Regions from separate parts of the Mus musculus genome. Here region 1 is reported to be linked to region 2. Evidence: microRNA targets listed by miRTarBase, many of them from high-throughput screens and not tested one by one. Region 2 holds a microRNA gene; the other region holds the end of a gene's coding sequence.

Region 1 (12,860 bases), not on the chromosome of region 2:
TGGTAGGCTGGGCTACAGTTCAACACTTCTGTGGCGTGGACATAATGTGAGTGTATTCTCTAAGAATCCACATTCCTCAAGTTCTGTCCTCAGTATGATAGCTGTTGTACTACCACGAGCGGTCTAAGGCAAGCCATACATACCACCACCCTTGGAAGACACTAAAACTAGTCTCAAGGAGTGAATTAGTCCTCACCAAAATCTAGTTGCTCTAAAAAGATCAAGCCAAGCCCCCGAGTTTGCCTGGCTCCTCGTCTTTCCCCTCCTCCTGGAGTTCCACCATGATGCTGTCCAGTATGATGTAGCTAACATAGTAGGTGCCATGTTTTAATCTCCAGAGCTGTGGACTAAGTTATCCTTTTGTCTTAATAGATTATTCCACTCAGGCATTTTATTGTAATATAAAATTTTATATTAAGACAAGCAGATGAGAAAAAAAAACCAAGAGGCTATAAACAAGACAAACTACTTATTTCAAACCTCTGAGTGATGCAGAACCAACCCAGCAATATGCTCAAATTCAGCTACATTAAAGCCACTTTCAGGTAAGGAAAAACAATGGTTAATGTCAGATTTTAAAGCCTTAACAATAGTTTTCTTTTGAGTTCTGTGGATGCGAATCGCTGCCTTTACTAACTGAAACCGCATTTTTTAAAAGATGCGGTTTTGGCTCTGTGTGGTCGAAGCTGGGCTCAGGGATTTAAGCCAAACCTTGCTTGCGACTGAATCAGTCTAGAGATGCCAAGCAACAGGTGGCATGTCGTCCTGGTTTACACACTCCAGCCTTTCAAAGCGGCACCGTCATAGACTGTAACTCTAATTATAGTGCACTGTCCCATAGTCTCACTAGCCCTTGGAAACAACAACAGTTTCGTCCACAGACTGATCTTACGCCTAGGTAGCAGACACCTCACATTTATGGGTGATGTGCCTTGATTTCTTTATTATAGCTATTTTGTTCCTAAGTTGCCAATCATTGTTGAAGCATGTCTATACGGAAGGTTGGGGACATAGTTAAAAAACCTACAGCTATAACTCTGGGTTTTCAAATATTTATTTTATTTAAAAGTAATATACTATGTATATGAGTGGGGTTTTGTTGCAGTTGTTGGTTTTGGTTTTCTTTGCATGTATCTATGTACCATGTGTTGACTGGTGCCTGGGGAGACCAGAAGAGAACATTAGATTACCTGGTTACATATAGTTAGTAACCTACATAGGGCTGACGGAAACTGAACTCAGGGTATCTGATACTAGATGTGGTATAAGTAAAGGAAACTTCTTAGCAAACCATTTTGGAGACTCTAAATCCTTGTTTGAATGGCTCTATCTGTTCAATACTAAGAAAGTGGGTGCAAGAGAGATCTCCTGGAAGACAGGAAAAGAGATGTAGAGGCAAGGGACCTTTCCAACAGCTCATTGAATGAAATTAGGGTTCTCTCAGATATGCATGAAATCACTCAGGTGCATTCCCTGAAAAGCTAAAGACTTTCCACTGGATGTCTCCTCTTAAAGGGCCACCACCTCTCAATATTGCCACCATGGGACCTAAGCTCCGCTCAAACCATATCCAAGCTATGTCAGAGAGTCTTTGAAAAGAAGACGCTGAGCCTCTTGGAGGTGGAGTTACAGACAGTTGTGAGCTTATAATGGATACTGGGAATTGACCACCAGTGCTCTATAAGAGCAGCGAGTACTCCTAGTGCTGAGATAACTCTTTATCTTGTCCTTCTTACACATAAAAAATACTGAGGCCAGGCGGATGGTTCAGTACAGGAATTACTGGCAGTGAGCATAAGACTCCGAATTTGAATCCACAGAACCTATGTAAAGTTGGGTGGGATATTGCACACTTGTAATCCCACCTCTCTTATGACAGCGTGATGTGGAGACTGGGAATTTCTGGAGGTTGCAGGGTCTCTCTATGTAGCCCTAGATGGTATGAAACGCATCATGCTGTTCCAGCTGGCCTCGAACTCACAGAGACCTGACTGATTCAGGCTCCTGAGAGCAGGAGTTCTCCGTGCTTCTTTAAATGTTACTTTGTAGCAGTACATAGCCCCAGAAAGTGACCTTTGAAGGATGCTGGTGAATTGGGCAATGAGTGAGGCCCTTTGGTCTGTTTTACATCATGATGCACTTGCCTTGTGTAGCTAGGCATCTTTTCTCCAAGATAAATAAATAAATAAATAAATAAATCTCTTATATTTTTCTCTAATTGCCGATGCTATTTGAAATAGTACCAGTCAGCTGTGTTTAACATAGCAACCATGGTCATCAAAGATTTCCAATCTGAAGCATCTCCCAAATGAAGGTTTTCAGTAGAGAGTTCAAGGAAGGGAGACCTAATTGTGTCAGCATGAAACTGAAGGATAGATGAGGGGATGCTGGAAGTATTTTTAATCTTTTTGAGATGCTGATATGTACCCCGAGGAAAAGCAGTGTGCTCTATATAACTTAAGTATGCCGCGGCAGACTCACTGGGGGAACATAGATGAGATTTACAGTATTGTTTTCCAGGGAAATTGTATTCAGCATTCCGAAAAGCTAATTTACCAGCAAACGTTCTGAGCATAAATTTTAAGTTGGATGTCACTGGCACATAGTTTGACTTTGAAGCTCGGGGAATAGATTCAGTCAGCAGTCTATATTTGTCTCCATGTAAAACTTGCTTCTTGCAATAATCCCTTGGCTCCTCAAACTCCGGGAAGATGAGATAACGACAAGATGAAAGTTTTTATGACCATGTTACAGGCTCTTGTGGAGGAACACCACATGGGTCTCATCAAGAATTTCACTAGCTTACAGTGACAACCTTTACCCTTCCAAATCTTTCTCAGGATTGAGGAGATGGCTAGGTGTGTAAAATGGTCTCTGTCCCAGTGTAAGAACCAGAGTTAGGCTTTCTAGTACTCATGTGGCAAAAAAAAAGGTGGGCGCAGGGGTCTGTCTTAGTTGTTGTTCTATTGCCATGAAGAGACACCATGACCAAGACAACTCAGAAAAGGAAGCATTTAGTTGGGGCCTTGCTACAGATCCAGAGGCTTAACCCATCATCATTGTAGTGTGAAGCATGGTGGAAGGCAGGCAGCCACAGTGTTGGAGGAGTAGCTGAGAGCTCACGTCTGATTGGTAAATTGCAGGCAGAGTGAGAGGGAGACTGGGCCCTGCTGGGCTTTTGAAACCCCAATCCCACCACAGTGTCACACCTTCCCCATTAAAGCCACTCACTCATACTCTACCTAGAGCACACCTCCCAGTCCTTCCCAAACAGTTCCGATAACTGAGGACCAGACATTCACACATATGAGCCTGTGGGGGGCATCCTCATCCAAACTGTCACAGCCTGTGGGACACCAGCATTGGGAATGGAGACCAGAGGATTCCAGGGGCCCACTGGCCAGCTGCTGCAACTAAAATGAAGAGCTCCACATTTGTGAGTGTCTTAGGGTTTTACTGCTGTGAACAGACACCATGACCAAGACAACTCTTATAAAGACAATATTATTTGGGACTGGCTTACAGGGTCAGAGGTTCAGTCCATTGTCATCAAGACAGGAACATGGCAGCATCCAGGCAGGCATGGTGCAGGAAGAGCTGAGAGTTCTACATCTTCATCTGAAGGCTGCTAGCAGAATACTGGCTCCCAGGCAGCTAGGATGGGGGTCTTAAAGGCCACACCTACAAGGCTACACTACTCCAACAGGGCCACACCTCCCTACAGTGGCACTCCCTGGGCCAACCATATGCAAACCATCACAGTGAGAAATCCTGTCTTTAAAAAAAAAAAAAAAGTGGATTTAATAGAAGATATCCGCCATCAACTTCTGGCTTCCAAACTAGCATACATGAGTGAGTGTTCTCATAACACACATGTATACAACACACACACACACACACACACACACACACACACACACACACACACACACACACACACAACTCTGTCATAGAATAACCAAAGTTATTTTCAGTGAACGGGATTTAAGTAAAGTTATTATCTTAGCATAAAATATGGATACTTTCTTAAGATCAGAAAAAGCTGTAAACTGAAAATCTGGAGCCTTGGACTCTTTGTTTCAAGCAGACGTCAAGGAGTCTGTCTCATCCAGCTGGCCTCACAGCAAATGCCCAATCTAGAGCCCTCTCTGAGTAAGAGCTGCCACTGTGCCTCCCAGATCTGAGCACGGGAGGTGTGACGGTTAGTTTTAATTTTCAATTTGCTACAACCAGGAATCACCACCTGCTCACAGAATCTCAATGATGGCTTGGCTAGATCAAGTTGACCTGTGGGCACATATTCAGGGATTGTCTTGGTCTTCTTAATTGCTATGTGACGTCCTAGCTTCCCATATCATTTAAGGGCTGCACCATTCCCCTGGGTTGAGGCCCTGGATTTTATAAACAGGGTGAGATTAGCACCTTGAAGGTGTGAAGAGTGGGGAAAGGGTATCTCTTCCTTGCCCACACCATTGACAGATAAGAGACAGAACCAGCTCTTCCAGGATCATGTCTTTGGAGCTAACTCTCTCAAGATGCCCAGGCAATGGGGGGAGGGCCAGCTCTACGAGTGCTCAGACATCAATATGACCTCAGCCCAGACGAGGGGTATCCACATGACCTTTGCTGTAGGGACAAGGACCCAGACATAGCCCTTGGAGGCAGCACGGGCCAGGGCCTCACAATGAATGGCCTTGGGTTGGCACTGCCACCTACTCACATCAGGCCGTTCCAGCTACCCTGGAGTCTCCAGTCCCGCCTCTCTTCACTGTGCACACATCCTCTTGCATCTCTTCCCCGCCCCCCATCATTCTTCTCCTTACTCATCTTAGTGGGGCCCAGGGCCTTTGGGTGTCTGTGGTCCTCTTAAGCTTGGTTTGCCCCTGGAACCCAGGCAGTGATGAAAAAATACTGTACCTTGCATTCTAAGCCATTTTTCCTTCTAATAATTGAAGTAAAATGTCACTCCAATGTCCTCCGGTCGTGCAGAATAGGTGGCTGCTTCCCGGTCCCACCCTTGTTTCTCTGTAGGTAATGAGTATCTCGGCTCCCTCCGCATCTTTTACATTTTTTTCCTTATCACTGTCTTTCATCAACTTGATTTTAACGATTATGTTACTAGTATCTTCAAATATTTTATTGCTGGAGTTTTTTGAGTTTTTTAGATCTGAAAGTTTACAATTTGGATTTTCCTTTCAGTAATGATTTTCTCAATTATTACTGATTGATTTTGTTGTTGTTGTGTGATTTTGGGTTTTTTGTTTGTTTGTTTTTGAGAGAGGGTTTCTCTGTGTAGCCTTGGCTGTCCTGGAACTCACTCTGTAGACCAGGCTGGCTTCACACTTATATAGATCTACCTGCCTCTGCCTCCTGAGTGCTGGGATTAAAGGTGCAGGCCACCATTGCCTGGCTTAGTTAAATTGTTTTGTTGGTTACATGTATTTTATGCAGGCAGGGTGTTCTGCCTGCATTTATATCTGGGTACCACTGAGGATGTGGGATTCCATGCAACTAGTTATAGAGAGTTGTGAGATACCATGTGGTTGCTGGGAATCAATCCTGGGTCCTCTGGCAGAGCATCCAGTGCTCTTAACCATTGAGCCATCTCTCCAGCCTACTACTAGTCCTTGCCCCACCAATAGTAATCTCTGCTTCTGAGAGTTCAGTCGTATCACATGTTACTCTGCTAATAGAGTCTACGGTCACTTTCTTCCTCATTGTTTCATTTCCGTCATTCCAGTTGCTGTGCCATCTCTCTGATTAGGGTTTTCCAACACCCGATTTGATGATAATCAAGCTCAGTATGTTATCTTTTTCAGGAGAAACCACCTTCCACTCACACTGACTGTTTTTATCTGCTCCTGTGATGCTCAGACCTCTCCTTACCTTCCTACCTCCATGGAGCAAGTCTGTAAAGCTGTCCCAACTTCCTTGTTTGATAATGATAGCATCTCCCACTCTGTTTCTATTTGCCAGTCCTTAATCCTATTTCTTGTCTCTTTGCATACAGATTTTAGATCATCTATGAACCATCTTGGTTTCCAATCTTGTCAAATCTTGCTTGTATACTTTTGTAATAGGATGTTGGATATACTTTTCTAGAACAAAAACCAAGTTTCCTGGATTCAGTGTTCAACTTTTTAAGGTACTATTAGAGTGGCTATAAGTAATAATACGAATTTAGTCTCACACCTAAGGCAAAGTTCTCCTCCTTCCCTGGTTCCCCAAGCTCCCCTGTATCATTTGTACACTATGAAGATATTTCGTTGTGGCTGATGCGAACACAAACTGTCCTTAGTCCTGTATATGCTCCTCCCAATGTTCATGGATCTGTAACTCTTGTTCTGGGTAGTTTTCATCGTTGACTTGATTGTATTAGTCAGGCACGTCTTTGAGTGTGGCCTGGAGACCAATTCCAGAATCCCCAGAGATTAAGAAAGGCTTACTGGGGAAGACCCACTTTTTGAATGTAAGCAATGTCCTCCCATAAAGCTGAGATCCAGATGTGAACAAGGTCCGGTCCCATTCCTGCCATTATGACCTGAATTCTTCACACCATACGCCCTCCCTTGTGTTCCCTCTTCCCTTAAGTTGGTCCTGGTGTAGGAAAGTGACCAGTGAAGCCCTTCTCTGCCCCTGTTTCAGCCTGAACCATGCCTGTCACTGCTTAGCCACAGATTCTGATGAACTTGGCCTCCTCAAATTCTGATTTTTATCTCAATGAGCTCTCAGGATCTACTCTATCATTTGGAAGAAGTTATTTCTAGTACTGTGATACGTGAGAATAAACAGGGCTCTTGCCACTGCGTTGCGCCTACATGAACGGCATGCGTTTGATGTGGGAGAAAGGACCCCATCCTTAATTTATTAAATAAATATTGCATCGCTAGCATTCATCAAAATGAAGCGAGCCTGTCAAACAACTGATAGTATTAGTTTGTTTGCAATCTTTATTTGTGTAGAAGCTTGGGTTATGAGAGCGGTAACTGAGTTATAGCAGTATACTTGCATGTTCATTAATCAAAAGATGGGGTTTTTACTTTTGCATGGTCTAGCCTGGTTACTGTACTGGTTGCACATTTGACTTCCTTAGTTTAGTTTTGTTTATGTGTTGAGTGCTGGCCTGGGTGTATGCATGTGTACACATATGTGTAATGCCCTTGGAGGCCAGAAGAGGGAGCTGGGTCCATTGGAACTGGAATTGCGGGCACTTGGGAACCTTCACGAGGGTGCTGAGGAAACACCCAGAGCAGCAAGAGCAGCAAAGGCTCCTAACCGCTGGGTCATCTCTCAATGTTTATTCAAAAAGGACATTCGGGTTTTCACCACCTTAGGAATTTGTTTCTAGCAGGGACTGGCTGAGATACATTTCCTAGTAGAGATACTCAAGGACTGGCTCTAGAAGGCGACAGATTGCAAACAGCAGCGTCCCTTGTGTGTTCCCCTTCGATCGATCGACTGCCTAATGGACATCACCACTGCAGTGCCTCGCTTTCCTCCTTAGCAGACGTTCTTGCTGGAATAGGAGTTTGTGACTTTTGGCTTGCTTTCTGCCCCCTGTGCACCTTGAATTCTTTCCTTCAACTTCCCCACACCCTTCTTCCTCTAGAAATGATACACGTGGCCCTTGGATCTCCTCCAGGGTTCTGCATTCATCACCACCTTTCAGGTCTTCATATTTTCATTCCATGCTGTTTCTACAACTTAGAAGATTTCCACCCTCTCCTAGACTGTTCTAATGAATTTCTTAAATCGTCAAATGGGCTATATAAAATTGCATATTCAGCATATTTAGACATATTTACAGGGGATGAATTAACAAGGGAATAAAGAAGGCAAGTTTTTTCTTAACCACTTCATCTTGTATCTTCATCCCTGCAATCCAGGCTAAGAGCTGTCTGGCTCATCCTGTGACTTCACCCCTGCAATCCAAGCTAAGAGCTGTCTGGCTCATCCTCTGCCTTTACCCCTGAAATCCAGGCTAGAAGCTGTCTAGCAAGTTGGTCGTGTGGGCTGCAAAGTTCGACTCTGACTCTCAGTTAAAGTTCTGGCTCTACCCTCTAACCCACCATGTAGACTTGGTGACATCACTTCCTTTCCCACTTGGGTCAATTTTACTTCTACACAGTGATCTCAGCACTACTGTCTTAGAATAATTGTAACAATTAGTGGAGAAAAGGAATAAAGAGCCTGAGTATTCTAAAAGCGGCATCTACTATTATTAGCAGGAGCTATTTCTTTCCAAACCAAGCTCCTTGGCCTTCCTTTCTGCAATCCAATTGCTTCCCATGCCTCCCCGAAGCTCACAAACTATTCACAAAAGAATTCCAACAGAATTTGAAAATTATATTTTTTATTATAATCACATAAAACGAAGTCAGTTACACCAGATTGTTCAAATACATTGGTGAATTAAAATCTTCGCTGCTTACAAATTTTATACATACTTATATGTATACATATAAATACATCATAAAAGATATATATTTTATTCTAAAATAAAGTGGCCAAATCTCAGGATATGGGGCAGGAAATGAAGAGAAGGATCATAAACTCTTGGCAGTTACATAATCCTTTTGCCAGCCAAGCATCTACTTTGTGCACGCTCGTTCACGTAGAGTGAATTTTACTCACCCATTATTTTTCTGAATTCTCCCATGTGAATTAATCTTACCCAAAGGTTAGAAGGTTAACAAGGCATGTGGCCAACTTACTGAATCAGCGGCTGGCTCTTTCTGAATGCATAGGATTCTGCCTTTGCTTCCAAAGAGAAATAACTAAGCGCCATAATTTTCTCAAGAGGGTTAGCTTCCCACTACGGTGCTAATAGAGTAATATACAAACCAGGTGTCTCTAATTGCAATCCTCTACTAACATGCAGTGAGGTCAGGAGTGGGCACAAAGATTCCTAGTGGGTTTGTTTTTCTTATCACCAAGGCTTGGGGAAGCAAAGCCACAGCACGGTGTGAATTGCGGGTCTTGTTTCTTTTGTTATTAAGGAAATAATAGAATAGGGTATGTAAGGACCGCTGTAGATTATTGAGAGAATCAATTTTAATTGAAATGGGCAATTCCATCACAAAGTCAGTAATAACATTTCAATCTAAAAATAAAATAAAATGTTAAAGAAAAATGGCATAATTTAAGTAAGGTAATAATAATAACAATTAAAAAAATCCTCACTTCAAATGGGAACTAGAATTCTGTTCCCCGGCTCTAATCGCTCAGCTACCTTCCTCAAGTTCACACCAGACATCACAAAACCTTATGGTGACCTTTGTAGTCTTCCACAAGATTCAGAATCTTAAAATGCCTTTGAAAAGACTTCAACTTGTTAAATCAAGGCAGAGATGCCTACAATTAGCCTCCACGAACCCAGCCACTTCAGCATCTTTGGTGGTTGCATCTTCAAACTACATTTGCACGGATCCTACGGCAAGCAGGGAAGGGAGAGACTGTCACAGCATGGGGCTGCAGAAGATACTCAGAGAATTTCCCAGCATATAGTGGAGAGGGACCCACGAGAAACCCTGACATCCCCCAAACTCAGAATAAGGAGAAGGACATCTTGGCTGTGGCTAGAGGGGCAGCAGGAGAGCCAGGAAGGCCTTCCCACGTTCCAGCACATTTCGGCAAGACCTCTAACTACTGATTTTGGTGAGCATCTTGTTAATCGCTTGCTTGACGTGTGTGGTGGAGCTGCGGCGCCTTGTCTTGCCCTGCACCATCCTTCTGCGACGCACCTCTCGACAGAGCTCATAGAACACCTCCGTGATGTTCCCTTCTCCCGTGCAGGCGGAACATTCGTAAAACGCACACGCCAGTTCCGTCGCCAGCTTCTCCCCTTCTTCTGTGCTCACTTGTCTGGAGTGGTCCAAGTCGGCTTTGTTTCCGACCAAGATGAGAGTCACGTTTTTGGGTTTTTTGACTTCATCTAAGATGTTCTTCAGCGGCAGCACTTCTTCGAAGCTCCCTCGATCGGTGATGTCGTAAACCAACACGAAGCCTTCTCCCCAGCGCATGTGCCCTTCCCTCTGGATGGTGTCTTCCTGTGGGCAAAGAAAAGAGCTGCAATCAGGAGACCTGGGCCTCATCCCAAAGTGCACAATGTTATTGCCTACTAATCCCTTAATTGCATCGCTTCATATCCGTTTGTTATTAAACATCTTGGCTGTCTTCCTGGATGAACGTATTTCCTTCATTAGTTTAGAAGGTAAGTACAGCTCACCCCCATTTGTCTTAATAACCTTCTTGTTCAGTTTATAGACCATTGATAACCCTAGGAACAGAAAAAGAAGTAATAAGCTATATAGAATCTACTGTTTAAGCTTGAGGACTAGGACCCCGCACCCACCCATCCACCCCCCATTCCAATATTCTAATCTGTGTTATAGATCAGTAGTGATAAGGAAAGTTCTCCTGCGGTGACTGTCAGAGCAGTGGCTTCTCCTCCACGAGAGAAGAACACACAGTCTGAAGGTGTCTCTGGCTGGGTCTGGATGCACCTGAGTTCCCTGTACTTAGAAGGCAGAGGTAAGAAGAGGTCATGTTCAAGGCTAGCCTGGGCTACTAGTAGTGAGATGAAGAGACACTGTGTGTGAGAAGAGAGACAGGAAGTGTGAGGGGTAGAGGGGAAGAAGAAAGAGAAAAAGAAGAAGAAGAAGAAAAGAAAGAGGAGGAGGAGGAAAAGAAGAAAGAAGAGGAGGAGGAAGAGGAGGAAGAAGAAGAGGAGAGGAGAGGAGAGGAGAGGAGAGGAGAGGAGAGGAGAGGAGAGGAGAGGAGAGGACAGAGAATAAAGTATTGTTTCCTTAGGTTCAATTGTCTTCCAGAGGCTTCTGCCTCTCTTGGCGTGCTCAGTACTGTGTGAAGGCCATGCAGAAGGAGGGAGAGATGAGTTATAATTAATTTCAGGAGCAGTTCTTTGATGAAACACTTTAACTCAAGTCTCCCTTTGAAGGCCACCAGTCATTGTTATAGCACCATGGAAATGCCTGGCCCATATAACCATCACTCCCCTGGTCATCTCTACTGTTTTTATAAGACATGATCTGACTAATGTCAAAGGAAATTTGCAGGCAAGTATTGTAGGGACCGTCTCCACATAATGTGACATGCAACACACACACACACACACACACACACACACACACACACACATGCCTGTAAGTGGTGGTCAAAGAGAACTGGAACACAGGCCAAGGCTGTCTCAGAGATTCGACTTGCACATGAGGACATTAGTGGTTCCTTTCAATAGCGGTGTTTGTTTTACTTATCTCTTTTTCTATTGGATGCAGTAAACACTTGGCTGAATTCCTACTCACCTGGCCAGCGGTGTCCAGGATCTCCATAGAAACAACTTCATCGTCTATGGTTGCCTGGTGTCGGTAGGTTGATTCTAAAAGAATGAGAAAGGGACATGAGAGATTGAATTTGATCCTTGAAGTGAGATATTAGGCACAGGATTCCTGCCTTTGTAGCAATGCGGGGAGGAGTGGGGCCGGGCGGGGCAGGGAGCTGTCCAGGGAAGAGAGGATGGAAGGATAGATGGACAAAGGAACAGCATCTCATTCTACAGAGCTTTCTGAGAGCCCGACCTCCAGCAGGCTGCCTGCTTGCTCCTCTATCCTTTCCTCGGGCTGTATCTTGTTCTGTGAGGCCAGACCCCTAGTGCTCTTTTCCATTTAAATTAGATGAGGCTTTTGCATTATAAGACGAAAGAGGCATTTTCCATGCAAAATATATTTCTACCTAGATATTCCAATAAGTAATTTTTTTGACATAATAGTCTTTTGTGTCTCTTCCTAACTTTAACAGTGTAAAGATCCTTAGCACCAGAGGGGCATGGTCAGGGTGGAGAGGCTGGGACTTAGACAGATGGATAAAGCTGGTAAACTTCCAAGATGGCTGGCTTCTTCCTCTCCAAGATGGCTGGCTTCTTCATCTCCCTCCTGACCTGAGGCAGAAGCCTAGGGCACTGCAGTCGGCTGATGGGTCTGATGGGTCTGACGGGACAGGTTGGATCAGGACATGCTCACATAAGAGCTGTGGGGCAATTGGCATCCTATCCTTGTTTAAACTAACCAACCCTAAATGATGGGAGGAAACCCCACCTCTGCTTTGTAGGCAATCATTCTCTACTCCTGCTGTATTTCCTATGTTTCATCACCTCTAATAATGGCCATTCTTCCCTGGCTGATTTCCCACTGCTACCTGCTACACTCAAGCTTTTCCTGACTTTTATTTCCTCAAACTTACAAAACAACAACTACAACAACAAATCCCAAACTTGACCAAGACCCCGAGACTATAACAGGCTGAGCACAGGATATGAAACTACTTGAGGTGGTAAGAGGCAGGCGGCTGAGCTTGCATTTGGCAGATGGTGAAGAATGGTAGCCCAAAATATAAAGGGTCTGAGCAGATGTGTGGGATGGGATAATAAGATCCCTCCATCATGATGTCTGGTCAAAGTAGACAATAGCAGTTGCCCTGTTGCAGCTGCCATTGCTGGGTCCACAGTGGAGAGGTCCCCAAACCCTGAAGGGATAAGAAGATGGCAGGTATAAGATGCCTGGGAAGTCATGAATATGACTCTCACCATATAAGTGGAACAGGAAATCAAAGCGGAGTCAGCTGGTGGGGCCGTATATGAAAGTTTAAACACAGACAAAGGAGCCAAGAGAGACAGACTGAGCTGGTGACAGGCACCAGCTTATGAGCTACTGACATGTTCTGAGGGATTTCCTCAGAACATGTCAGTAGCTCATAAGAAGGAAAGTATGGTTTGAAACTTTCATAAGAAATATAGATAACAGATCTATGAATCTTATTCTTTATGAAATGAGCCTCAGGAGAGAAAA
Region 2 (12,860 bases):
AAGACTATTGGTAAAACTGAGCATTTGAGATTGTCTTAAAAGCAACAGACATTAGGGTCATGTGGCCTTATTTGTTTATTCTGTATAACCAGAGGAGCTATTGTAAGATCTTTAAACTTCAGGTCATTTAATTCTGTCATCATTTCTTTCCATTTTGGGGGAATTGTGTGTGATACATAATTGTCCTTATTTTTTTTTTCACTTGCTTCCTATTGGATGCAAGTTGCTGCTAGACGTTTTTAGTTATAAACTCCATTTACTGTTTAACTATTTTCTTGTTTATTAAGGATTTATTTTTACTTTGCATGTATGAGTGTTTGCCTGGAGGTATGTATAACATTGATACGCAATGCCAGCAGATGCCAAAGGAAGAAGATGGGCCACTGAAACTCGAGTTACAGGCAGTTGTGAGGCACTGTGTGGGTTCTGGGAACAGAACCTAGGCCTTTGGCTAAAGCAGAAAATATTCTTAACTGTTGACCCATCTCTCTAGCTACCTCTACTCTACTTTCCTTTCTTGCTTTGGACAAGATTTATTTATTTTCATCTTACATTTAAAGCCCTCTGCATAATAAAATCTAAGAAAAAGCAGAATCTGTATCATAAGTAAAGAAAGAAACTCAGAAAATCTCAATTTTCCTTTATTTTTGTCTTATATTTATTCATTTTATGGTGTTAATAAGTTAATAATAACTATATAGTTAGAATTATGTACTTATTGCAACTTTTCATTCTTAGAGAATTCTGTGCCATATATTTGCATCTTATTTTTAGACAGAATAATCTCTTATAACTATAATTTACAACATGCAGTTGCAAACTAAAGCCTCAGTGTATTTAATAACTTGCTTAGCTGCCCCACATTTGAACGATCTACGGAATGTCCCACTGGCTCCACCCTCTTTTCTTATACTGACTCCACCCGCTTCTCTTACCTAGGATCCTGAATCTCACAGCTCTCATCTGTCTTTACCTGATGTTTCCATTCTCAGTTTATTGTCAGCCATGTTTCAAGTTTCAACATGTTTATTTGTTTTTGTTTTAAAGTACTGTTCTTTTTGTAAACGAAACCATTTCTGTTGTTTCTTAAAACATTCATTTTAATTCTCTAAAATCGATCCTATACAGTCACTTATCAGTTAATTACCATGTTGGTTGCAGTTAATGCCTCTTCAGATAATAAGTAAGGCTCTATTCTTTTGCTTTTATTTTATTCCTCTATTCATTGCCAGTGGGCACACATGTGGCTGAGTGTAGCTATGTCTTATTAGCGTTTTGAACTGTATTCTTTCTTTAGACTTCCATTTATTGGAAGGTATTTTTGTCTTTTTGATCCACAACTTGGAGCTTCATTATACTTCCTATACATCTCAGCTTCTTCTGCAAGTGGTAGAGTAAGTGCAAGATTACACCACCCTGGCCCCTACAAGTTTTCTCTCCACACAGTGAAGCCTTGTACCCTCTTCTTGGTTTACAAATTACATCATTATAAATCAGGTCCCTTTGCTGTAGTGTTACATGGCAGCAAACTCAAGGAGTCTCTCTAAGATGGCGCGTGTGTGCATATGAGAGAGAGAGAGAGAGAGAGAGAGAGAGAGAGAGAGAGAGAGAGAGAGAGAGAGATTTACTAGAGATTTTCTAAGGATTTAACTCACCCTACTTTAGCTGAGCTATATCTCCAGCCAACGGGGGCCTTCCTTAAATCATTAGTCCATTCACAATGGTTTTGTCAACAGCTTAAAAGCCGTCTAATGCTCTGAATGCTCATACTGTCATCTTTAGAATCAATACTCCAATATGTTATTGTCAGAAATCATAGATCTTCAGATCATCTGGATGCAAGCACAACATTCATGTCCACAACTCCCTTTGGTGTGCTTTGTATGTGATGGGCTTTGAATGAAGAATCAGAATAACTATGTATACAAGAAAACCAGTCATACATAGTGTGTAAAAATATTTCACCAAGAAATCTCTAGAAAACCTCTAGTTGTGGTGGGTATTGTTTTGTTTTGTTTTCCTTTTTATTTTTTCTAATCATTCCAAGATTTTAGTGTTTGAGAATTTTACACTTATATAGTGAATTTTGATTAAATCCACCCCCAACCCGGTTCTCTACTTTCCATTTCCCACTCCTATACACCCACCAACACTTTCCTCTCATTTTTTCATATTCCCTTAGGGTATGGGGATGTTTTGTTTTGTTTTTCGAATTGAATCCATTAAACACTGCCTGAATTTGCATAGATGTGGAACAACTTCTGAGATGTAGGTACACATGGTACACATACATGAAAAAAGAATTGAGTCTTCCCACATGATAGCCACCATTTACCAATAGCTGCTTAGAGATGGGTGGGCCTGTTTTCATAGAAACTATGGGTTCAGGTTTGTAATGACCCTTTTATGTTCAACAAATTTTGTATTGCCATAAATTTGAACAACTTCTGGCTATTAAATTTTCTTTCCCCCATTCATCTGACACTGAGGGTAAGGGCTGAAATATAGCTTTTCTATTTGTAGCTTAGCACTCCAGTCTTGGGTTTTGCATGTTAACTTGTTATGGGTCTCATTAATTGTCATCTATAGAATAAAAAACATTCTATAATGAATGATTAGATATTGATTAATCTGTGAATACAAAGATAAGATGTCAAGGGACAATTAAATACTAATCAAATTATTGGGATAATCATACTAGGTTCTCCTCTGAAGCCAAAAACCTATGTAACTATTGGATTTTGGCTTAGTAACAGTACCAATCATTAATTCATTCTCATAGAGTGAATTTAAACTCAATCAAAAAGTGTTTGGTTGAATCTACAACATTAGTACCACTATAGCACTAATGTGCACATCTTTTAAAAAGTTATTTTAGCTAGAATAGTTGGCACCAGAGTAAAATTGTTTTGTGGTCTTTTTCCCCAAGTATCACGCATAGTATTCTCCAGTAACATGCAAGCAGGGTCTTTGCTCTTGGTTTCCCTCCAGAACTTAATGATAAGACTTTTTGTTATTTGTTAGCTCACTGCAAACTTGAGTAATATAGGAAAATCAAGTCTGTATTAACACTTTTAAATAGAATTAATCAATTCCACAGTTGTTTTACTAGTACTTATTTTTATCTCTTGGCCATTTTTAAATAGCATATTACTAAGGTTTGAATGTGCTGTGGCCAAAGGATATGTTAAGTGCTGATACCCAGATTCCTTGACGTTTTCTTAGTGGGAAATAAAATTTCCAAAAGTAATAAACTTAAGGCAGGATCGTGGATAACAGTGATGAATCAATCAGAAAAGCACTTGAGGCACAAAGATGAAGATCCAAGTTCCACCTCAAAATTCATGTAAAATAGCCAGGCAGCACAGATTTCCAATTCAAGGCCAGGAAGATGTAGGCAGAAGGATTTATGTGATGTGTTCACCATGTAGAATCATCAAATCAGTTATTCCTAAGCCCACTAGAGTTTACTCAAAAGTAAACTGGATGATATCCTTGAAGGAGACATCTGAGGTTGTTCTCTGGATCCCACATTTATGTGTACAAACCCACATTGCCCTAGATACACATGGAAAAATAAATAAAAATAAATAAACAAATAAAAGGAATGTGAGATCATCAAAGGGATTCTGATATAACTGATGTCTTTTAAAATCAGAAAATTTGATCAAAAGGAGACAAGCACAGTTAGATTAATGTGAAGATATGAAAGGAGAAATGGAGATAATTGGAATGTTACATGGTGTGCATACTTATACATAACTGATAATAAATCTTATGAATGCACAAATACTTTATAAAATATATCTTTTGTGTGTTAATCATGGAGTCATGAACAACAAGATAGCTGCTGTGACATGGGAACTTAATGCAAGCCCACTCCAGCCCTTTTGTAGTTAGTTCCACAAAATGACAAAGTTAAAAATATTCCCATAAACATTTAAGTGCCTGCACAATAAAGTGATCTGTCATGAATATTCATAAAAAATGAAAAAATTAAACACCATTTTGTGTATTTATTGATACATGTTAAGTTTAAGAATATTTTATGGGCACTTATACTCATTTTATGTGATAATGATAAATGTTAATTTTAAAGTAAATAACTATTTATATACTGTGTAGGATCATGTGGCAACACTATTCCACAAAAGTATTTTTCACAGATTTGTACAGCTGTGTACTCAGTATTATTTTATTTACTGAAAATTAAAAGGTAGTATATATGCTTTTCAAATTTCAAAACACCACAAAATCGTGTGGTTCCACTTCCAAGAATTTTTTTATATTTAATTTTTTGATACTCAAGTGATACTTCACATTCTAAATGTACTCTGAAGATGTGAAAAGAAATCAGAATGATCTGCTTTATAGAAGGGTGTTTTTTTTATTCTTCACATTTTCTGTGATGTATTGACAGTATAAATTTAGCACCTGTATTCACCAGTCTCTGTGGGTAGCTAGGAACATCAGGGAAAGACAAACAGAGCATACAAGGATCAGGACCAAAATAGTTAGAGAAAGTTTCTCTTAAAGCAATTCTGTTTGTGGCCAAAATGGCACTTGCACTATAATGCTTATTACAAAAATATTAAAGATAACCAAAATGTGACCTCAATCAAGATGTCTTTATCAAATGAATTATTGAGAAAGCTGCATGTTAACATGATAGACTATGACTCAGTCAGAGCATGATTAAAACTGTCATTTTCAACAATATTAATGGCTGGGAAGAACTGTGTTAATAGAAACAGGCCAAACACAGAAAGACATGTACCATGTGTTCTATCTCATTTATGGAAGGCAATGAATTAACTTACTGCAAGTATGGAGTGGATACAGGTGACTAGATTTGGAGAAGGGTTGCAGAAGTTGCAGGAAGAAGGGACAAGGGACCTTTAAGGGATGAAAAAGGAGCTGATAAGTGGGTGTGCTAAAGACAGAAGAAGAGAGGCAGCATGAGTAAATAATGTGTGCATGGATTAAAAACTAGAATGTATCCCATTGGTTTACACAATAAACGTGTTACCAATTAGGATAATTTTAAAGAGTATGTCATGAAGTCACTGAACAGTAGAGTGAGCCGCACAGGAATTTTACCATTAATAATTCACTTCATAAGATTTCTTACTACTAGCAAACATACATACTCATGCACACACATTGAGAAATCCATCATTTATAAAAATAATAACTCAAGAGCCTCTGTCCATTGTATAATTCCATCTTTTAAAACAGTGTTCCAGTCATTGTTCTAGCTCTACAATTCCAGTTAAGAAATAGTATTTACTTACTTTGTAGTCATCTAGTTGGGTTTCATACACATATAACATTACATATATATGTATAAATATATATGTTCATATATACACATAAATGTATATATTACTTGTATATAATAAATTAGTATACATGGATATATGCACTTAAAATATATGATATATAATCTAGCTCACAGTTTAAAGGCTTTTTTATTTATTCTCCAAAATAGTGATTCTGTATAGATCAAAACATTAAATTTCTAAATAAATTTCCCAGTAATACCATTGATTAATATCAATATAAGAATTTCATGCTTTCCATGTTCCCTTCTTTGACTTAAATTTAAAATTAATTATATAGATTAAAAATGATTTCATCATACTTTCTTTGTGATAAAGTTTTGATTATTATCCATATGATGTGTGCAATGGGTTATCTTTATGTAATAACAGTCATATCACGGGTGTTCCTCAGAAGTAGTGAACTGGCTAGCATTTTTAGACACTATGTGATCTCTCATATGACTACACTCAATTTAAAATAAAATGAAATGTGTTGTGTGTGTCTAAAATCTATAAAGGGAAAAGTATCTTAAGTATTTTTTAGATGTTAAAGTAGATGTGTATCCTAAAATATGCATTGTTCACAGATGTTAAAATTACAACTACAATCTGTGAAACACAGATCTTAGGACAGCAATGTTTCACAAGAAAAAAAATGATGCAGCCTTCTTTAGTATTTATAGTCATTTGAACAATTATGGCAACCATAAGTTCATATATAACATCCCCATTTGGTGAAACTAGTTGGGAAAGATTAGAAGGTATGACCTTGTTGGAGGAACTATACCATTGGGGTGGCTTTGAGACTTCAGAAGTTTCAAGGCCCATTTAGTGCTTTCTACCTTATGAAGCTGTGAGTTCTCCTTGCTAGCTACATAACTTGGAAAGCAGGCCCTGCACTTCACCCAAGGAGCACATTAGAGCTGGCCCTTTTGGAAGGCAATTGCGTAAGCCACACCAGGGCACCAGAGATCTGGCACTGCCATGCTCCTGCTTGCAAGTAGTGGTGTGGGTGTTGGGTGATGCCCTCCAGTCCCACCTTTTGCCACCTGTAGTAGTCAGGGGAGTTGGCCTAAGGGCATGAGAGCCTAAGACTTCACCCTAATCCCTCACCAACTGTAGCATGTGGAAGAGCAGGCTCTGTACCTTCCCTGGGCAACACATTGGAGCTGGCCCCTCACAGGCTGCAGGACTTGGGAGAGTGAGTGCTGCACCTTGACTGTGAAGGTGGTTTTGGAGGTGTGGGTGTGAGACCATGAGACCAAGAGAGGAATGGAATATTACTCACTTATTAAAAACAATGACTTCATGAAATTTGCAGGCAAATGGATGGAACTTGAAAATATCCTGAGTGAGGTAAAAAATAACACACATTGTGTGTACTCACTGATAAGTGGACATTAACCCAAAAACTCAGAATATCCAAGATACAATTCACAGACCATATAAAGCTCAAGAAGAAGGAAGGCCAAATTGTGGATGCTTTGGTCCTTCTTAGAAGGGGGAACAAAATACTCACAGGGGGAAATATGTAGACAAAGTGTGGAGCAGAGACTGAAGGAAAGGCCATCCAGAGACTGTCTCACCTGGGGGATCCATCCCAAATACAGTCACCAAACTTGGATGCTATTTCAGATGCCAGGAAGTGTTTGCTGACTGAAGCCTGATATGGCTGTCTCCTGAAAGGCTCTGCCAAGAACCAGACAAATACAGAGGCGTATGTTTGCAGCCAACCATTGGACTGAGTGCAGGGCCCATGATGGAGGAGTTGGAGAAGGGATTGAAGGAGCTGAGGGGGTTTGCAGCTCCATGGGAGGAACAGTAGTGTCAACCAGCCAGACCCCGGGAGCTCCCACGGATTGGACCACCAAACAGTACACATGGTGGGACCCATGGCTCCAGCTGCATATGTTTCAGCGGATGGCCTTGTTGAACATCAGTGGGAGGAACGGCCCTTGGCCTAAGGGGGTTCAATGCTCCAGTGTAGGGGAATGCCAGGGCTGGAAGGCAGGAGTGGCTGGATGGGTGGAGGAGCACCCTCACAGAGGCAGGGGGAGATGGGAGGGGATTCTGGAGGGGAGACCTGGAAAGGGGATAACATTTGAAATGTAAATAAAGAAAATATTCAATAAAAGGAAAAAATGGGAGGAAATTCTGATGCTGCAGATGTAGACATTGGAAAGCCAGATGAGAGCAGTGCTGACGAGCTTGCCCTGGTAATGTGTAGTTAAGGGAGAGCCTGTGCACTGACCAACTCAGCAAACATCCAGACCTGGATCCAGGGCTCTCAGTTAGCACACCCCCAAAACTATGTCATTTGAGAATTGTTGGAAGACATGAAAGGACAAATCCTGCTGATCCAAAGCTGTATGATCTCTGTGACACAAGACAACTACAGAATAACTGCGAGTAGTCCTGAGGTAGATCCAATGTTGATGATGTCAGAGAAGCCAGAGAACCCATACCAAACCAATGACTCATTGCAATGAACATTTGCAAGTGCAGATGTGTGGACAGAGGGATATACTGTGGAACACACTGTGGTCTATTACAGCTTCCATGATGGGATATTTTCTATGCAGTTTTGTTGTTGTTGCTTGTGTGTGCATGTGTGTGTGTGTGTGTGTGTGTGTGTGTGTGTGTGTGTGTGTGTGTGTTTGTGTGTATGTGCATGTGCGTGTGCGTGTGCGTGTGCGTGTGTGTGTGTGTGTGTGTGTGTGTGTGTGTGTGTGTGTATTTATGTGTGTGTTCAGGAGGGAAGTTTGTAAGGCCAAAAGGCAAATATTAGAAGATGGGTGATGAGTAGGACTGGGATGCATAATGCGAAACTCACAAAGAATCAATAAATAGCTCTCTGTTATTGGCCCAATGCCAAGCCTGCTTGCCTGCTCCCATGCTCCTTGCCATGATGGTCATAAACTTTGAAACGTGAATCCTCAAATAACTTCTTTCTTCTGTAAGTTGCCTTGGCCATAGTGTCTTGCCACAGGGACAGAAGGTGATGAAACCAGTATGGTTGCTCATGACCCTGATGCTGAAGCAATGTTGATGATAACAATAATGAAGCTTTGAAAATTTTGTAGTTTTCCATTACAAAACTGTCTTATTGGGACAAAAGAACAAAACATACACAGGGCACAGATACACAGGGATTTTTGCTTCAGCACAAACTCTGGTCAAACCTGGTTATTATATAAATCAGAGTATGACCACATCATAGGTGGCATACATACTGAAATAGATAGTTAACATTACATGATTTCTGAATTTCAATTACAGGCATTTTCCCAGAGGAGTCAAAGTGTTTCTATCTCTGCACACAGTAAGAACTGTGAGCTCAGGCTGATGCAGAGTCCAGAGCATGTCAACCATGACACTGTTTACTTGTTCTGTCTTCTCTATCACTAGTGAAAATGAGGTAAGATTATACCACATCATTAATTAGTAGCTACTTGGTTGTGATAAAATGTAGTGTTGATTAGTGGAGGAATTGTTTTAAAGCTGTGAGAATATTTAAAATAAAATAGATCTTTGCTGGTGGGGTTGCAAACGTGTCCAACCACTGTAGAAATCAGTCTGGCAGTTTCTTAGAAAATTGGACATAGCTCTACCAGAAGACCTAGCATACTGCTCCTGGGCATATATCCAAAAGCTCTTCTACCATACTAAAAGGGCACATGCTCCACTATGTTCATAGCAACTTTATTTGTAATAACTATAACCTGGATACAACCTAGATGTCCCTCAAACATCAAATAAAGAAATCAATAGAGAAAATGAGGTTAGGATCAGGTGTGGGGAGAGACAGAAGAGAGAGTCAGAAGGACAGGAGAATGAAGGAAGTGAAGAGGTGGAGGAAATCTCTAGGAAGTACCAGAGATCTGGGATGAGGAAGGCTCCCAGGAGTCAATTTGGGTGGCCTTAGCCGAGATGCCTAACAGTGGGGACATGAAAATAGAAGAGGCCACCTCCTGTAGCTAGGCAGGACCCTAGTGGGACACCAATCCACCCACAAAACTTTAGATCCAAAATTTGTCCTGTCTAAAAGAAATCCAGGGACAAAGCTGGAGCAGAGACTGAAGAAATAGCCAGCCAATAACCAGCCCAACTTGAGACCCTTCCCATGGACAAGCAACAATCCCTGACACTCCTAATGATGCTAATGTGACTGTCTTTTATGCTCACATGGCAGTAGCCTAACATAAAAATCCTCTGGGAAACTCTACCCAGGAGCTTGCTGAAACAAATGCAGATACCCACAGCCAAACATTGGACAGAGGTCAAGGACTGTTATGGAAGAGTTTGGAAAAGAATTGAAGGTACCGAAAGGCATAGGAACTCCACAGGAAGACTGACAGAATCAACTAATCTGGACTCTTGGCAGGTCTCAGAGACTAACCCACCAAACAAAGAACACACAGGGCTAGACTGAGGCCCTGGCACATAGGGCTACCTTGTCTTGCCCCTGTGGGAGAGGATGCACCTAGCCCAGCAGAGACTTGATGCACTGTGGTAAGGGTATACACAGAATTTAGAATGGAAATAAATTAATTAATTTAAAAAACAGATATTTAAATTTCAGTACTGTTTAGTGAAGAGCTCCCTGAATAAAAATGTATATATATATTTGCATTCATAAATCATTTACTCTTTCCTTAGGTCAAAATTATTACTTTAGCCAAAAACTGTGGACATGCCCCATGGTCCTATCTACTTGGGAGACTTGGGTAGTACAATTATTTGAGGAGGGGGATTGTAAAGTACCTTGGAAAACATAACACAATCATGACATACATGAAAAAATAGGGGTTGTGTTTGTATGTCAGTGGCAAGGTGCTTTGAGGGTAAATTTGAGTCTCTTTGTTTAATCCAGTCAAGAAAAAAAAAACATAAAACAAAAAGTAGCATTTTCATGTTTAATAATTCTCATAATTTATGTATACATATAATTAGCTCCCTTTAGTTCTCTATAAGAAAGTGTGTGACATTTTTAATTAGTCATGAAATTGTATTTCCACATTAGTCATTCACTGTCAAATATGCTTTTCAATTTGAAAAACATGATACAAGGGACCCGATCATCATTTATACTTGAAGGCTAATGGTGTAAACAACAACTATAATTAAGAGTCTTTAGCAACTTTTAGACATGTTCCTTCTTTTTTAATTGGAAAAACTATCTTGGAGAAATCTAATGTCAGTATTAATACCTGTCTGAGTTATCAAATTCCTTATAAACCAATCACCTTGGTGATAGGTCTGCCTACATACTACCCACTACCCACAAATTCTATCGCTGTGTGTGTGTGTGTGTGTGTGTGTGTGTTTGTGTGTGTCTCTCTCTCTCTCTGTGTGTGTGTGTGTGTGTGTGTTTGTGTGTGTTTGTGTGTGTGTGTGTGTGTGTGTGTGTGTGTGTGTGTGTGTGTGTGAAGGACAGGGGCAGAGTCAGAGAGACAGAGGGAGTCTTTAGGCTGCTCATCCTGCTCTTAAATTTTTGGATTTAGAAATTGTTCATTCCGGGCCTCCTAACTCTTTGGAGCTATAGATGCATGTCATCATGGCTGATTAGACATACATTATTTAAGATTAATGGTATCTCACTTCATCCTGAAAGTACCTAGAATAAGAATAGAAATACATCATATGTTCCTCATCAGAAAATATTAAGCCAAACAGAATATTAAATATTATCTTTAAAATGCTTGGGAATATTTTTACCAAGTATTATAAATGCAAAGAACTCCTTCAAGAATCAGGCAAATTAGATACATCCCTAAATAAACAATTCAGAGAATTCATTTCCTGAGATAGACTTTGTAAGCAATGTCAAAGGAAACTTTTCAAGCAGAAGGAAAATGATTCCAGACAGAGATTTGCATCAACACAGAAGATAAACAGTTCCAGTATTAAGTATGTTAAATAATACAAATACCACTTTCTAAGTGTATAGTTTTCTAAGGAAGAAAAAACCCTTTGCCTAAAACAAAAGTCTTTCACTATGATCTCATTGTACCCTTGCCTTGTAGTAATAGTCACAGCCCTTAGCTGTGGCATCTGGCTTATGAATGGAGCAAACTTCCTCAATCTGTCCCCTTAGGGCATAGGACCTGGTGAAATCTGGGTAGAGGGATGAATATCTGTCACCTGCTAGACCAGTCTGCAATGAAGGTGACCTCTGACTTAATCAGCAAAGCTGCTCAACCTTCTTATAAGAGATGTGTTAAGAATATCTTTAGTAACCATCCACCTTATGACAACTCTGCTTCCAAGTATTGATAATGTTTCCAGCAGGTCACCAATATCTTGTAACTGAAGAAAAATGTCTTGGTTGAGGAGTACTATACTATAGATAAGAATGATGGGAGATTTTACGTGTGTGTGTGTGTGTGTGTGTGTGTGTGTGTGTGTGTGTGTGTGTGTCTGTGTGTGTGTTTAAATATCTACTGAGAAAATATAGCATTCTAGCTTTTGTAGAATGAACTACGAACTCTCTGCCTGTCCTGGGACATCAGGTGACCAAGCAGTCAGAACTTCCCATTATGAGCTGTCCTGTATTTAACTCACCAATACAGCAGCTTACATGGGCTTTTCATTATGACCCTGAATGTCCTACATATGATGAAAATCAAAGTACGAAAAATATCACCTAAAACAACTACTTGTTGTCTCTCCAAGAATTGGGATGTGTGTGTGTGGGGGGGGGGGATGTCTTTATGTCTTGTGAGCATGAAGCAAGAAAAGAAAACATTATTGTTGCCATAGCTGATTCTGACCATCTGGAGGACATATTGCCAGTATAATGCAATAGGGACAGAGAAGCATGGGTTTAATGAGAAATAGCCTCTTGGGCTTCTGTTTCCGTCTCACCCCTATTGATGGCAAATGGGCAGAAGCAACACCTGTGGCTGAGTTGCTATGATGATTAATCCTGACTGTCAACTAAATTGGATCAGGCATCAACTGAAACACAAACATCTGGACACATCTGTGAGGGTAATTCCTAGAAGGACTGAACCAGTAGAAAGCCTGTCCCCAGAATGGGCAAAACTTTCTCTCAATGATACAGTCAGCAAGGGAGCTTGCAGAGAGCACTGATCTTTACCTGCCAAACTTTGATCCTTGCTGGTTAATGCATCTGTATATGTATTCTTGTTACTATCCTTCGCTTTCATCAGAGTTCAGACTGTCTTGTCCGTGAATATGAACTCAAGATCAGCAGCCTGGCAGAATCCCTCCAGGCCTTCATAGCAGCCTGAGATTCTGGTGCCATCCAGACCTGCAGGGCTTCCAGGATCTCAGCTTCCCTAGTGTGAAGACAGCATTGTTGAACTATCTTGGGATAATTTTTGTAAGCCAGTTTTCAACAAATCTCCTTTTTTGTAACACAGATGGTTTCCTTTGGATCTGTTTCAGCAAAGAACTCTGAATAAAACAGTGGGGGACCAGAGAGTTGACCTTTTCAGACATGCTGGTCTGTTTGAACTACTGGATAACTGTGTGGGGTCAAGAGACACCTAGCTGAGACTGAGGAGTGTG

Evidence for each region. The annotated mature microRNA mmu-miR-3964 reads AUAAGGUAGAAAGCACUAAA and lies in region 2 at 6,152-6,171, opposite strand. An mRNA with a match to its seed (bases 2 to 7 or 8) in the 3' UTR can be bound and repressed. Matches are read on the target gene's strand: a 7mer-m8 pairs with bases 2 to 8, a 7mer-A1 pairs with bases 2 to 7 and ends in A, and an 8mer does both.
Region 1: the mRNA of Rerg is a reported target of mmu-miR-3964. Seed matches in the 3' UTR shown: 7mer-m8 at 9,148-9,154.

What each region holds. Positions count from the first base shown.
Region 1 is chr6:137,046,492-137,059,351 of GRCm38, forward strand. Rerg (RAS-like, estrogen-regulated, growth-inhibitor) reads right to left here. Exons shown (of 5, transcript NM_001164212.1): 4 at 11,322-11,395; 5 at 8,334-10,049. The coding sequence ends at 9,642. Among named protein-coding and RNA genes, the nearest start is that of Gm52923, 59 kb to the right of the region's middle.
Region 2 is chr15:29,707,186-29,720,045 of GRCm38, forward strand. It overlaps Mir3964 (microRNA 3964), which reads right to left and starts at 6,219; the gene lies at 6,146-6,219.